Rhinolophus ferrumequinum: one gene and its partners. The protein of the gene in region 3 purifies or fractionates together with the protein of the main gene of each other region. This does not show direct contact. Links are inferred from orthologs where the notes say so. Each region holds a gene or a part of one and is shown on either strand. Other genes may lie near its edges. The genes, in order: PTGFRN, IGSF8 and CD9.

Region 1 (3,744 bases), on a different chromosome or scaffold from region 3:
AGTCCTAAAAAAAAAAAAAAAAGAAAAGAAAAAGAAAACCAGCACACAAAGGCAGGACCCCCAAAGCTGATCCTTTAGGAAAATGATGACCTTAGAAGGGAGGCTGGTGGAAAGAGTCAACCAGGAAGATGTCAGAAGTGAACCGTGTGGGGAAGTATCACATCTTGGGCTAGAATAGTAGCTGTAGAAACAGGAAGGACGGGAAAACCGTGGAGTTTGCGCTATGGGAAAAGCCACAGGACTGAGGGACAGAGTGAACATGGAAGTCAAAGAAAGTGACGGCAAGACTATGCCCCGGTTGCAATACGAGAGGAAAGACGATCTTGCTTATCAACATATTACGTTTCAGGAATCAGGACAGTACTAGAGTGGTACAATAGGGAGGCCTCCCCGAAGGTCAGACTGAAGCCATTCGGAGTGAGGTTCTGTGGGGCAGAGTTATCAGGTTCAAGTTCAGGGACCTGCTAGGGGATAAGACATTGGCTGGGGACACCACAGACATTACCCGTGTGTAGTTAACATGAGATGTCCAGCCAGGGCGGGATACACTGGTACATAATGAAGATCTCCCCAAGCTGCGCTTCCTCCACTTGTTTTTGCGTTGCCACTTCTATTTTCTCCCTTTGCCCTTTCTTCTCTCCCTTTTTCTCCCTTATCATAGCTATTCAAGGGCATTTTTTTTTCCAAACGTCTACCTTTACTGATACACAGGTTGTGACCTGCACAACTCTAGGGGGAGTCATTCTCACAGAGACTATGAAGTGAACAGCAGTTCCCAGTTGTGCAGTGCACAGTCTGTGCAACCATTAGCCATGGCCCTGTTTGACCCAAACACATGAGCCCATTAACTATTATGGACTATCACCAGCAGTACGAAACAAACGATCTTACAAGGGTCCCAGAGTGAAAAGAAAAGAATAAAAGCCCTAGGATCCGAGATCACAGAAGAGAGGCTTCAAAACTAAGTGAAAGATCTGGAAGCTTTCTGCAAATGGTCGCAGCTAAAACAATGTGGCTGGATAAGCTCTCTTGGGGAGTGAGTTCCAGAAAACCCCTCGGAGGCGAAGAGAACACAGTAGCAGCAGAAAGCCTGGCCCACCAGCAGCAAGAGGCATGGGGGTTGGGACAGTGGGTGCCCTGGAGCCATCAGGATGGGAGCGGCTGTGGAGGTCCTCCACTGGGACCCTCAGACCGTAAGTGCAGAGTAGTCATTTACCCCGTGTGCAGCTGGGGCCTGGCTGGGACAGACACCCCACGCCATGCACTCTGCAAAAGATTCTGATCTGCCTTCTCCAAAGGCTTGGAAGGAAACCGGTGGTCAGGTAACAGCATTCTTTCTCTTCTGACACAGACCAAAAGGATTCAAGAATATCAAAGCACATAAGGGTCAGCCCTGGGGCACCACGGTGGGCACTTAATAAACAGATGTATTTCTGTGGCTGATTCCCACATAGTTATGTTAATATACCAAGACAACGATATGTATCTGCTTTGAAGATGGTGTCTGTATGCATGGAGTAAAAGGAAAACGAAGAGAAAAAAACCCACCAAAGATTCCTTGGGTTGGGGGAGGGCATTGGGCCAATTTATCAAGAGGCACCGAGGTTTGCGAAGGGTGGAAGACAGGGGACAGGAAAGGCAGAAAAAGTAACAGGTAGGAAAAGTTGGAGAAGCCAAGCCTCGTAGGTCTTTGTGTGTAAATATGGAGCTAGGCAGTTTCCAGAAGAAATAAAGGAAAAGACTCAGGCAGAAGCTCTAACCACAGCCAACATGACAGAAGGACTCGCACACTGATTTCTATTGTAGCGCTCTGGGCCACCTCGTGACCTTCGTAGAAGGAAGTTGGTGGATTGTCTGGCTTCCCAAGAAAGGCAACTCATCCTGGGTTTGTGTGTGAGGAGCGAGTCGGCGGGGCTCGACTACCACCAGGTAGATCAAAGGCGCATATTTCCGCTCCCAAGCTGGGGACACTGATCGGGGACCGCAGGCACCTTCCGGGCCTGCGATCAAGGTGAGCCCGGCTCCGGGCGGCCAACAGGTAGGGAGGGCTGGGGGCAGCGGGTCACGAGCCACTCCCCCCGCACGTGTGGGGGGCGAGGCTCGGCCTGGCGACGCCGGGACAGGTACCCCGCGCGCTGCCGGGCCGGATTCGCTCCCGGAGGCCCCGCGGTCATTCCCCGCCGGGCCGCGCCGCCCGCGTCCCCCGGCCGGGTCTCCCGGGAGTGGCCCCGGCACCCTCGGCGCCCCAGGCCGCGCGCTGCAGCCGCGCCCCGCCGAACCCCCAGGGCCCCACGGTCCCCGCGCCCCGCCAAGCCCCGCGCGCACTCACCCAGCGACAACAGCGCCAGCAGCAGCGGCCTGGGCGCCAGGCGCCCCATGCTCGCCGGGCGGGAGTGACTCTCCGCCTCCTCCTCCTTCCCCGCCGCCTCTCCTCCTCCTCCTCCTCCAGCTCCGGCTGCTCCAGAGTCGGCTCCTCCGCCTGGGCCGCGCGCCTGCTCCGCTCTCGTCGCCAGCCGAGCAATCCCAGCGCTGGGCGGACGTGCGCCCCGCGCTCCCGCCGGTCCGCCTACCTCCTCCCCGCCCTCCTCCGGCCGGCCGGGCCCCGGGAGCCGGGCGCCAGAGCCGCCCCGCTGCGCCGAGCCAGCAGCCCCGGCCGCTTCCCGAAAGCAAAAGGGAAGAACCGCAGCGCCCGCCCGCCCGCGCCTCCCATCGGGCGCTTTGCCAGCAACAAACACAAACTTTCCCAAGCCCCTCCCCGCTCCAGGTAACGGAGCGAGCGCCGGGACCGCCCGCTTAAAGGGGAGGAGGCGGCGGAGCCCACCCAGCTCTCCCCTCGGGCTCCCGCCCCACGACAAACTTTCCTCCGACCTTTAAAAGTTGGCCTTGGAAAGACTCGTCTGGAAATCCCATCGCTTTAGCTCCTTTCTGGGACACCCAGCGTTCCACCGCTCTGGAATCACCCACGCTTGTCTCCTGTTCCCTCGGCTAACTGCCCGCACGTTCACCCCCAGGTCCCAAGCTAAGCACCCCACCAACCAGGCAGCGTGGCCCTTGCGAAAAATTATTCAGATAGGACTGAAAGACATGGAAGCACGTTAAAGGCCATGGATAACATCCTCCTTGTGGTACAGCGGCCTTAAGTGTTTAGGTGACTTGTCCAAGGATTCACAGCGAAGTGGCAAAACCAGGACCCCAATCTCACAGCTCTGCTCACTGCCCTGCGGCTGGGTGGGCCTCACCGTCCCTCGCCCACCTTCTTCCCTCTCCGTGGTGCCTATGGGCTACGAGAACACTTCTCACACACGCCCATGAAAGACAAAACAAAAAAGAAAACACTCAAGTGTATTAATAGCTACAGTACTTTACATGGAATGTCCTTTAAGTGGTCGCAACTGGTGGCCAATAGATCCTTTTTTCCCCCCACAATAGGGTTTTGTGCTTTTGATTTGAATACAAAAGGCCCAGTCTTGGGGGCGGAAATTTTTAGTGTTCATTGTGTAGAACTTCACAAGGATAATTTAAACATACTGGGAGCAGCACTGGGCCCCCTGCCCCCCCACACACACCACAGTCTCACACTAATAGATGCAAAACAAATCACAGATGTTAGTGGGGAAACTGCCTAAGTTGGGGAGAGAAACACACTTTTACGCGGAGGCATTATTCTTTCCACTGACAAGTGTTTGTTATTCCGCTAACAAATGTGTGATCACCCGGCTATGAGCCCTTCTGAAAGAGACTCCA
Region 2 (3,744 bases), on a different chromosome or scaffold from region 3:
CCTCTCAGTTCCACCTTGCCGCTGTAGCTGCCCAGGTAGTGGGCATCAGTGGAGGGTGTGTAGCACTCATAAACGCCAGCGTCCTGGGCCTGCAGGCGGGTGATCTTAAGCACCACAGCATCACCCTGCAGATGTTGCACCTGTACCTCACCAGCTGCCACGCGGGGCCCAAAGACAGCATAGGAGAAGTGGCTATCCCTGGTACTGACAATGCCCAGTGCAGCCTCTGGGGCCTCGGGCCTGTACAGGAACCACTCAAAGTCCTGCTGGTCAAGTCCCTCATAGCCAGTGACATTGCAGGAGATGGAGATGGCTGTGCCAGCCACGCGGTACAGTGGCCCCTCGGGGACCAGCACCTCTCGGGCACAGCACCGGACTCCTGTAGGGAAAAAGAGGAGAAGTTGGGGATCCTTGGTCCCCATTGCATCCCCCCACTACCAGCACCATTATTGACCCCTGCCCCTGAAAGGAAAGGAAATCTGGAGAAAGTTGGTATGCAGCTTAGGCAGAGTTCTGAGAATAGGGTAAGGATGCTGGCAGGTAAGACACCTAGGTCCCAAAGAGCTGGTCCAGAGCCAGGTTTACCTCAGAACCCAGAAATATGCCATTTCTGACAGGCCAGAATCAGAAAGAACATCTTTTTCCTGTTGTAACCATTTTCTGATTCCAGCTGTACCTTGATTCCCTCCTCCCAACCTCCAGTCTCATGTCTGTGGTTCCCATTCTGGCCTGGTCAGTGGAGCCTTCTAGCTAAGGGATTCTGAGACCACATATTCCCCTCCTTTGTTTGAGAGGAGCTGGCAAAATCTTGCTCAGAAGGGCTGGTTGGCTTAGCTGTGTCACCTGGGCCAGGGGACTCCAGACAATGGAGCCAGTGGCCCAAGCTGGACAGGACAGAGACAATGTCATTTCTCACCACACAATGCCCTCCTCCCTCCAGCTGTGCCATGAGCTCACTGCTTCCCCTACCCCACAGAACTGCTGAGGCAGCTGAGGCTTATGGGGCAAGAACCAGGCTCTACTCTGGGCTCTGGGGGCAGAAGATCCCTTCCCCCCCAGTGCCTGCCAATCTTCCAGGCTAGCCCAGCTGATGCCCAATTACCCCCCCACACCCCCAACAAAAGCCTTTATTTACATATGGTTCCTTTTCTGTAGGGAACCACAAAATCCCCAGCTGCCCCTTCTCTTCTTTCTCTCCTCCAGACCCCACCCTGCCCCAGCAGATACTCTGGCAGTTTAGAGGGCTCAGCTTCTCTCCTTCCATCCTATCCCCACTAGATAATATCACAGAACCCCAGAATGTAACGAGGGCTGGGACAGAGCCCTGCCTCCATTTTACAGATGAGAAAGGTAAGGCAAGAGAAGTACACTGTCTTGGCTAAGATCCTACTGTCCTTAGATGGTTCCACACATCCCTGCGGAGGGACAAAGCCAGAGAGGCCGATAGGGAGCGCCAAGGCAAGTGAGGCCTGAGGAGATGATCTCACCAAACAGAATGTCACTCCCAGGGGTACCCCGACAGCCTGTCCCCAGGGGCTAGAAGAAAACACCGAGTTTGTGCTCAATTGCTGTCCTCCAGAAGTGCTCCCTCCTCTTGATTCTCCCACCTGAGCCCAGCTCCTTGCCCTTCCTTCTGTGGCTGAGTCATGAGGAGAACTGTGGTCACTTGGTTAGAGCACAGGCTGGAAGTCTGTCCCATTCCTATCTCCAGCTATATGGCCTAAATCCATCCCTTCCTTTCCCAGGCCTCAGTTTCCATACTAAGGAGAGCTAAGAGCTTCCATTCAGATAGTGAGTTAGTGTGACTCAGGAGGGTCCTGCCTGAGAGCACTTCATAATCAGGGTGCTGGCAAAGATGGCTGAGCTGACACCTTCCTCCAGGGCCTCCACCTTCCCCAGCCATCAGGCTGACTCCACTCTGAAGGGCCCCCTCCCACCTTCCTGGCTCCACAACTGCTGATGCTTGGCGATCTCATGGGAAAGTCACCCCCAGTGCCTTAGGAAACCAGCTGCCTGGCAGTTCTCTCTCCAGCCAGGTCCGCTCCTCTGTGTTAGCAGAGAGGGAAGGGAGAGAAGAGAGACTTGCTTTGTAGTCAGACAGATCTGGGTTCAAATCCTAACCCCAACACTTACGAGATGAATTCTCTGGGCAAGTTACACCATTTTCCTCATCTTTGAAATAAATATAAGTGCCCCCCGATTTCGGCAGGCTCTTCCATCTCTGTGCATCACACTTACCCATCTCCCGTGGGCTCCTCTCTGCTCCACACTGCCCAGTGGGGAAAACAGGCCAAATGCTAGGCAACTGGTCCCTCTGACATCCTTCTGCCTCCCGCCCAAGGCCCCAAGGAGAGGACTCATTCTAGTTCCACAGGGCCTAGGGACCTGTTCAGCAGAGGGAGACTCTGCTGGTGCCGTTGTAGAACTCTGGTCTAGAAAAGGGAGCTGGGGCTACATCAGCCTAAGCCTAGACTATAGCAGCTACAAATCCTGGCAGCCAGGCTACCCCCACCTTCACCCTCGTCCCCCACGCCATGCTCTTATTTTAAGGGCTTCAGTCTCCTGATCATCTGTACAGGCAGTCACCCTGTCTTGATGCCACACTCCTCCCCAGACCATCTCCTATAGGAAGCCCTCCAGTTTATGCCAAAATCAATCCCATAGTCACTGCCCTCATGCATCCATGCAACAGTGGCCCAGGACACCCCACCATGAACACCCACCATGACAGAAACAGGGTGTTTGGAAATCCCAGCTCAGTCTCCATGGAGCCTGGTTTCTCCCCAGGCAGGGAAGCTGGGACTAAGGTGGTGTGACAAATGGTGGGAAGCTACCCTGTTTCCCTGAAAATAAGACTGGGTCTTATATTAATTTTTGCTCCAAAAGACGCATTAGGGCTTATGTTCAGGGGATGTCTTCCTGAAAAATCATGCTAGGGCTAATTTTGCGGTTAGGTCTTATTTTCGGGGAAATAGGGTACAGAGCCAAGTGCCATCTGGAAGAGGGCAGGTGGGGCAAAGAGGGACCCAGCCCAGGTCAGAGATGAGGGGTGAGAGAGGGAACAGCGCCCAACCTCAGATGAGGGGTGTGTGTGTGTGTGTGTGTGTGTGTGTGTGTGTGTATGTGTGTGGGGGGGTGCAATCCGGGGAGACTTACTTCAAAGATCATGAGCAGAACCGGCAACCGGGCCTCCAGCCAACTCCGGCAATTATGAAGGCCCGCAGGCACTGCCCACGCAGGGCGGGCACCCCAGGCTGGGCCTGAAGCTGAGTGTGAGGCAGAGAGGAGCCACAGCATTTGGGCGCAGCGACCTTAGGATGTAGGTGTGCTTGCTGAGAAATGGGGTCTAGCCCTCCCGGAGGCCTGGCAGTCCCTGGCAGATGGGTGCTCACTGCCCCAGCCTGGGGCCTACAGCTGAAGGGACTTCACCCCCCTCCCCCCAGGCTGGCTGGGTGATCTGGAGGCGCCGCTGACGGAGAAGGAGGTGCGAAGGGCTCCGAAATGCTAGGGAAGATGGCCCGGCTAAGCGCCTGGTGGCAGGCACCTGCCGGGCAAGGTTGAAGGCTAGGGCAGGGGCCGGGCTTACCTAGCATTAGCAGCAGCAGCAGCGGCGGTGGCGGCGTGGGACCGAGGGCACCCATCCTGCGCGGCCGACTCTCGGGAGGTTCCGGGGGGCGGCGCGGGCTCTGGGCTGCCAGATGCTCGGGGGGCGCATGCCCGGGTGGAGGGCGCAAAACAGAGCCG
Region 3 (3,744 bases):
AATTTTCAGTCTAATTCCTCAAAGCCCTGAGCCAAGGCCTGGACAAACAATGGTCCTTATCCTTAAGGGGCCAACTGCCTGCCCCTTCTGCCCTCCCCCACTCAACTAACATACAGATGAGAAATGAACTAAATCACACAGCCAATAGAATCCTTCAGAATGCAAAGTCAGGGGCTGCGAGGTTCCCTTCACCCCACCCCTAGCTAGGTCGCTACCTTCACCTCCCCACATACTGCCCCCATGCCCCCCTGTGAGCTCTAGCCCAGACCCCAGACAGCCCCAGCCCCAGGCATCACCCGAGATTCTCTGACGACTGCAGTAACTTTCCCTGTGGTTCTGCAGCATTGCTTCCAAGTCTGGGTCAGAGGCCCTTCCTTTGAGCTCCCTTAGCCCTGCCGCACACACATATACACACATATAGTATATACAGCACTCTAATCCCCTTGCCAGCCTGCCTGCATACCTCCCCAAGTGGACTCAGAACTCCCTAAGGGCAAAAACAGGATCAGCTCCTTCCTGCTCCTAATGCTGTACCCTCATAAGTAGACAGTGAAAAATGTTTTTGAATGAATGGAGATAAATCTAACAATGAAAATAAACAGCTAAATAAGAGCTACCAGTTGCTGCTGATGGGTGAAATTTTGAGTTACATTCTTTTTGCTTGTTGGTCTTATTCTGATGTTTCTGTATTGAGTATGTTTTGCTTTTGTAATAAAAAAACAAAAAGAACACTAAAGGACACTTCATTTTGAAAAAAATGCAGAGGGGTTTTGGGACAACAGAAGAAGGGAAACGTCCTCATCCTTTGGTGAGAATCAGGAAAGAAATGTTTCAAGAGCCACAGAATTTCTGCAAGTGAAGAGGGGAGGGCCAACCAGCCTTAGGGCACACACCACTGGCACATGCAAAGCCGGGCCAACAAATGTGTGGAGTGCTGGGCAGAGCAGAGTGGTTCCTTACAGATGCAAGATAAGTTATTTCCACTTAGGTCATTGAATGTGGGGAGCTACAGAGACCTTTGAGCAGATGAAAAACATGAACAGAACTTGGTATCCAGAGCATTAAAGAGGGAGTAGTGGACGAAGTCCAAAAGGCAAGAGGGTGGGTGGTGTGCAGTAGAGGCAAGAGGGAAGCTGGGCAACAAACTATCTTCCCCTCTCGGGGCATCTAAACCACAAGTCTAGGAAACGCTCCCGGATTGCCCAACCCTCAGACATATTACTATTTGGTGACGGGCATTTAGAATTATTTCGGTAAGCCGCCGACCTATCTTCCCACCTGGACTGCAAGCTTCTAATTCCTGCTACTCCACATGAGGTGCCAAATACAACCGTGCTCAAAGAGTGAAGGTTTGCACGGAGCCGCCCCAGGAAGAAATAAAGCCAGGCAGCTTCCCTTCAAATCGAAGCCAAAACACGAAGTGCCCTCATTGTGCGGGCAGCCAGCCTTGAGTAAGGGGATTATATCCCGACGACCTGACCCGGAGAAGGTCTCTCAAAGTGGAGGCCTCGGGCAGGAAGCCCGGACTCGACCAGGCGAGAACCAGAACGGCGAGGCTGCCACAAAACGCCCAGGTTAAAGCAGCAGGGGGTGGCAGTCTGGAAAGACCCCTAGACGGTTGGGAGGAAAGGGGGTGGATGGCGTAAGAAAGGGACCGCCAAGTCGGTGGGGAGCGGACGGAGCCCGAAACTATGGGAGAAAGAGGGAAGGGCGCGGATGGGGGTCTGCAGGGGCTGGAATCTCGGGAACCTGGGCGGGGGCGGGCGGCGGGCGGGGGCCGGGGCAGGTGGGGCCGGGGGCGGGGCCGGGGCGGGGTCCTCGGCACATGCGCACTGCAGCCTACAGGGCTCCGTACCGAGTGGCACTTTTTTAAAAGTGCAGCCCGGAGGCCAAGCGGCAGCCACCCGCACGTCGGTCCCAACCTGGTCCTGCCCGTCCCCGCCGCGCGCCCCGGTCCCACACCAGTGCAGTTCAGGCCAATCCAGCCCGCACCATGCCGGTCAAAGGAGGCACTAAGTGCATCAAATACCTGCTCTTCGGCTTTAACTTCATCTTCTGGGTGAGTGAGCGCGACAACCGCGCGTGCTTCTCTCCGGGGCCACCTGTCCGCCCCAGGGACCCTGTCCGCGGTCGCGGGTACGGGTAACTAAAACCGCCCGCCGGGTAGACTCCGGGCCGAGGAGAAAGGGCACGGCGGGCGCCAGCTGGCAGCGCCGCCGGGTCCGGAGACGGGCGGGGCGGCTGTGTTTGTAGGGGGCTCTCCGAAGCCGGGCAGGCAGGAAGACACGGGGTCCCCAGCGAGCTGGGGCGTAGAGACCCGCTCCAGGCCGCTCCTTCGCTAAGGGTGTGGGCCGGGCTGTGTGTGCCCCTGCGAGTACGGTGAGGGAGGGAGTGGAGCCGCTAGGGAGAAACGGAGCACCCCTCCCGGGAACTCGAGGCCCTGGCCCAGGACGGTAGCGGAGAGTGCAGTTCGTGACCGAGGTGAGGTCTCACAAGTGGCAGGGCCGCGATGAGGGGAGGGTGCGGGCGCCCTAAAGGACTTTAGTGGCTCAGGGAGAGCTCCGCCAGGAGCTGTTGGCACTTTTACACTGGAGAGGAAGGAGTGCGGATGGCCGGTCCCGGTCCCTAAGTGAGAGGCGGGACCACCCCCCTCCACCCTCAAGGAGGAACCTTCAGCCCCCTCAATTCTCTCAAACTCTGATTCTGAGCCGCCACGAGAATGTCCGAGCTCCCTCGAAACTACCTGAAAGACTAGCTTGTCTTGATTTTTTTTTCAAGGGCGATAAGTATCTGAACTGGGGAGAACGCTGGGAGAGTTGGGGAGAGGAGGGGCAGATGCAAGTGCGCACTTTTAGTGGGATTTCTCCAGTTCCGGGAGAGATTAGGTGCGGGCCCCAGAGCCCTCTGGCTTCGTCCCCTTCCGCCCCCACCTCCCCCGAGTGGCAAGGCGTGGCCACGAAAGCGCGCGTTCACCTGGAGAGGACACCTGGCCGTCCTCCAGGACTCCCGCTGCTGGCCGCACTCAGCCTTTCTGCAATAGGAACCCTGAGGGAGGCAGCAGAAAAGGGGAGTGTCTCCTCCACACCTTCCCTTGGAGGATTAAGGGACCACCCAGAGACGGAAGCAAGGAATAGGGAACCTTCGTGTTCTGGTTTTGAGGGCTACATCCGCTGCACATAGATGAACGGTCTTTGCCTTTCTGCAGTCAGGAAGGAGTTTGGAAAGGTAGCCCCTGTGCCACGCAAGAGAGACGGCTGTAAAAACGGGCATGCCACCGGAGGCTTATAAAAAAAATGTACTGATTCCCTTGGAGCTGGTCCCTGGGATCCCCACAATCCTCGGGGCAAATCTCCTGAAATTTAATCCTTTCTCCAGAGCTGACAGGGTAAGATACTGAGCTGCCCTTGCAAGAGTCACCACACCCAACACGTGCTAGTGTGGCTGGCACACAGGTGTGCCCCTGCCCAACCCTTGGCCTGCTTTGGGGAGACCCTCCTGTGGTGGGCACCCTTCACCCCCTCCCATCCCCTATTCCCAGCACCCAGCCCCTATAACTGCCAGGCTCGGCTTCCTCTTCTCATCAACCCCAGCACCAGAAAAGAATGTCGAAGGCAGCCCGCCCCAACCCACCCCACTCTTCTCCTTTGGGGAGTTTTCCTCCCCTCCCTAGCACAGTCTCTCCCCTGCCAGTCTGTTGGTTAGTCCTCAGCTCTCCTCCTAGGCTGCATCAGGGTTTGGGGCGAG

Evidence for each region.
Region 1: the proteins of CD9 (region 3) and PTGFRN purify together in Homo sapiens (co-immunoprecipitation; 8 studies listed by BioGRID and IntAct, with this or other methods). This does not show direct contact. The link is inferred for Rhinolophus ferrumequinum from reciprocal best matches to the Homo sapiens genes CD9 and PTGFRN.
Region 2: the proteins of CD9 (region 3) and IGSF8 purify together in Homo sapiens (affinity purification with mass spectrometry; 5 studies listed by BioGRID and IntAct, counting the BioPlex papers as one, with this or other methods). This does not show direct contact. The link is inferred for Rhinolophus ferrumequinum from reciprocal best matches to the Homo sapiens genes CD9 and IGSF8.

Annotation. Positions count from the first base shown.
Region 1 is NC_046305.1:47,028,091-47,031,834, reverse strand, and holds the start of PTGFRN (prostaglandin F2 receptor negative regulator), read right to left. Parts: upstream 2,718-3,744; 5' UTR 2,379-2,717; coding exon 2,330-2,378; intron 1-2,329. UniProt on the Homo sapiens protein: Inhibits the binding of prostaglandin F2-alpha (PGF2-alpha) to its specific FP receptor, by decreasing the receptor number rather than the affinity constant. Functional coupling with the prostaglandin F2-alpha receptor seems to occur.
Region 2 is NC_046305.1:28,434,293-28,438,036, reverse strand, and holds the start of IGSF8 (immunoglobulin superfamily member 8), read right to left. Parts: upstream 2,377-3,744; 5' UTR 2,362-2,376; coding exon 2,239-2,361; intron 1,537-2,238; coding exon 1,488-1,536; intron 380-1,487; coding exon 2-379; intron 1-1. UniProt on the Homo sapiens protein: Member of the immunoglobulin superfamily (IgSF) that links tetraspanin-enriched microdomains to the actin cytoskeleton and plays several important roles in innate and adaptive immunity.
Region 3 is NC_046293.1:23,516,521-23,520,264, forward strand, and holds the start of CD9 (CD9 antigen), read left to right. Parts: upstream 1-1,424; 5' UTR 1,425-1,574; intron 1,575-1,881; 5' UTR 1,882-1,993; coding exon 1,994-2,059; intron 2,060-3,744. UniProt on the Homo sapiens protein: Integral membrane protein associated with integrins, which regulates different processes, such as sperm-egg fusion, platelet activation and aggregation, and cell adhesion.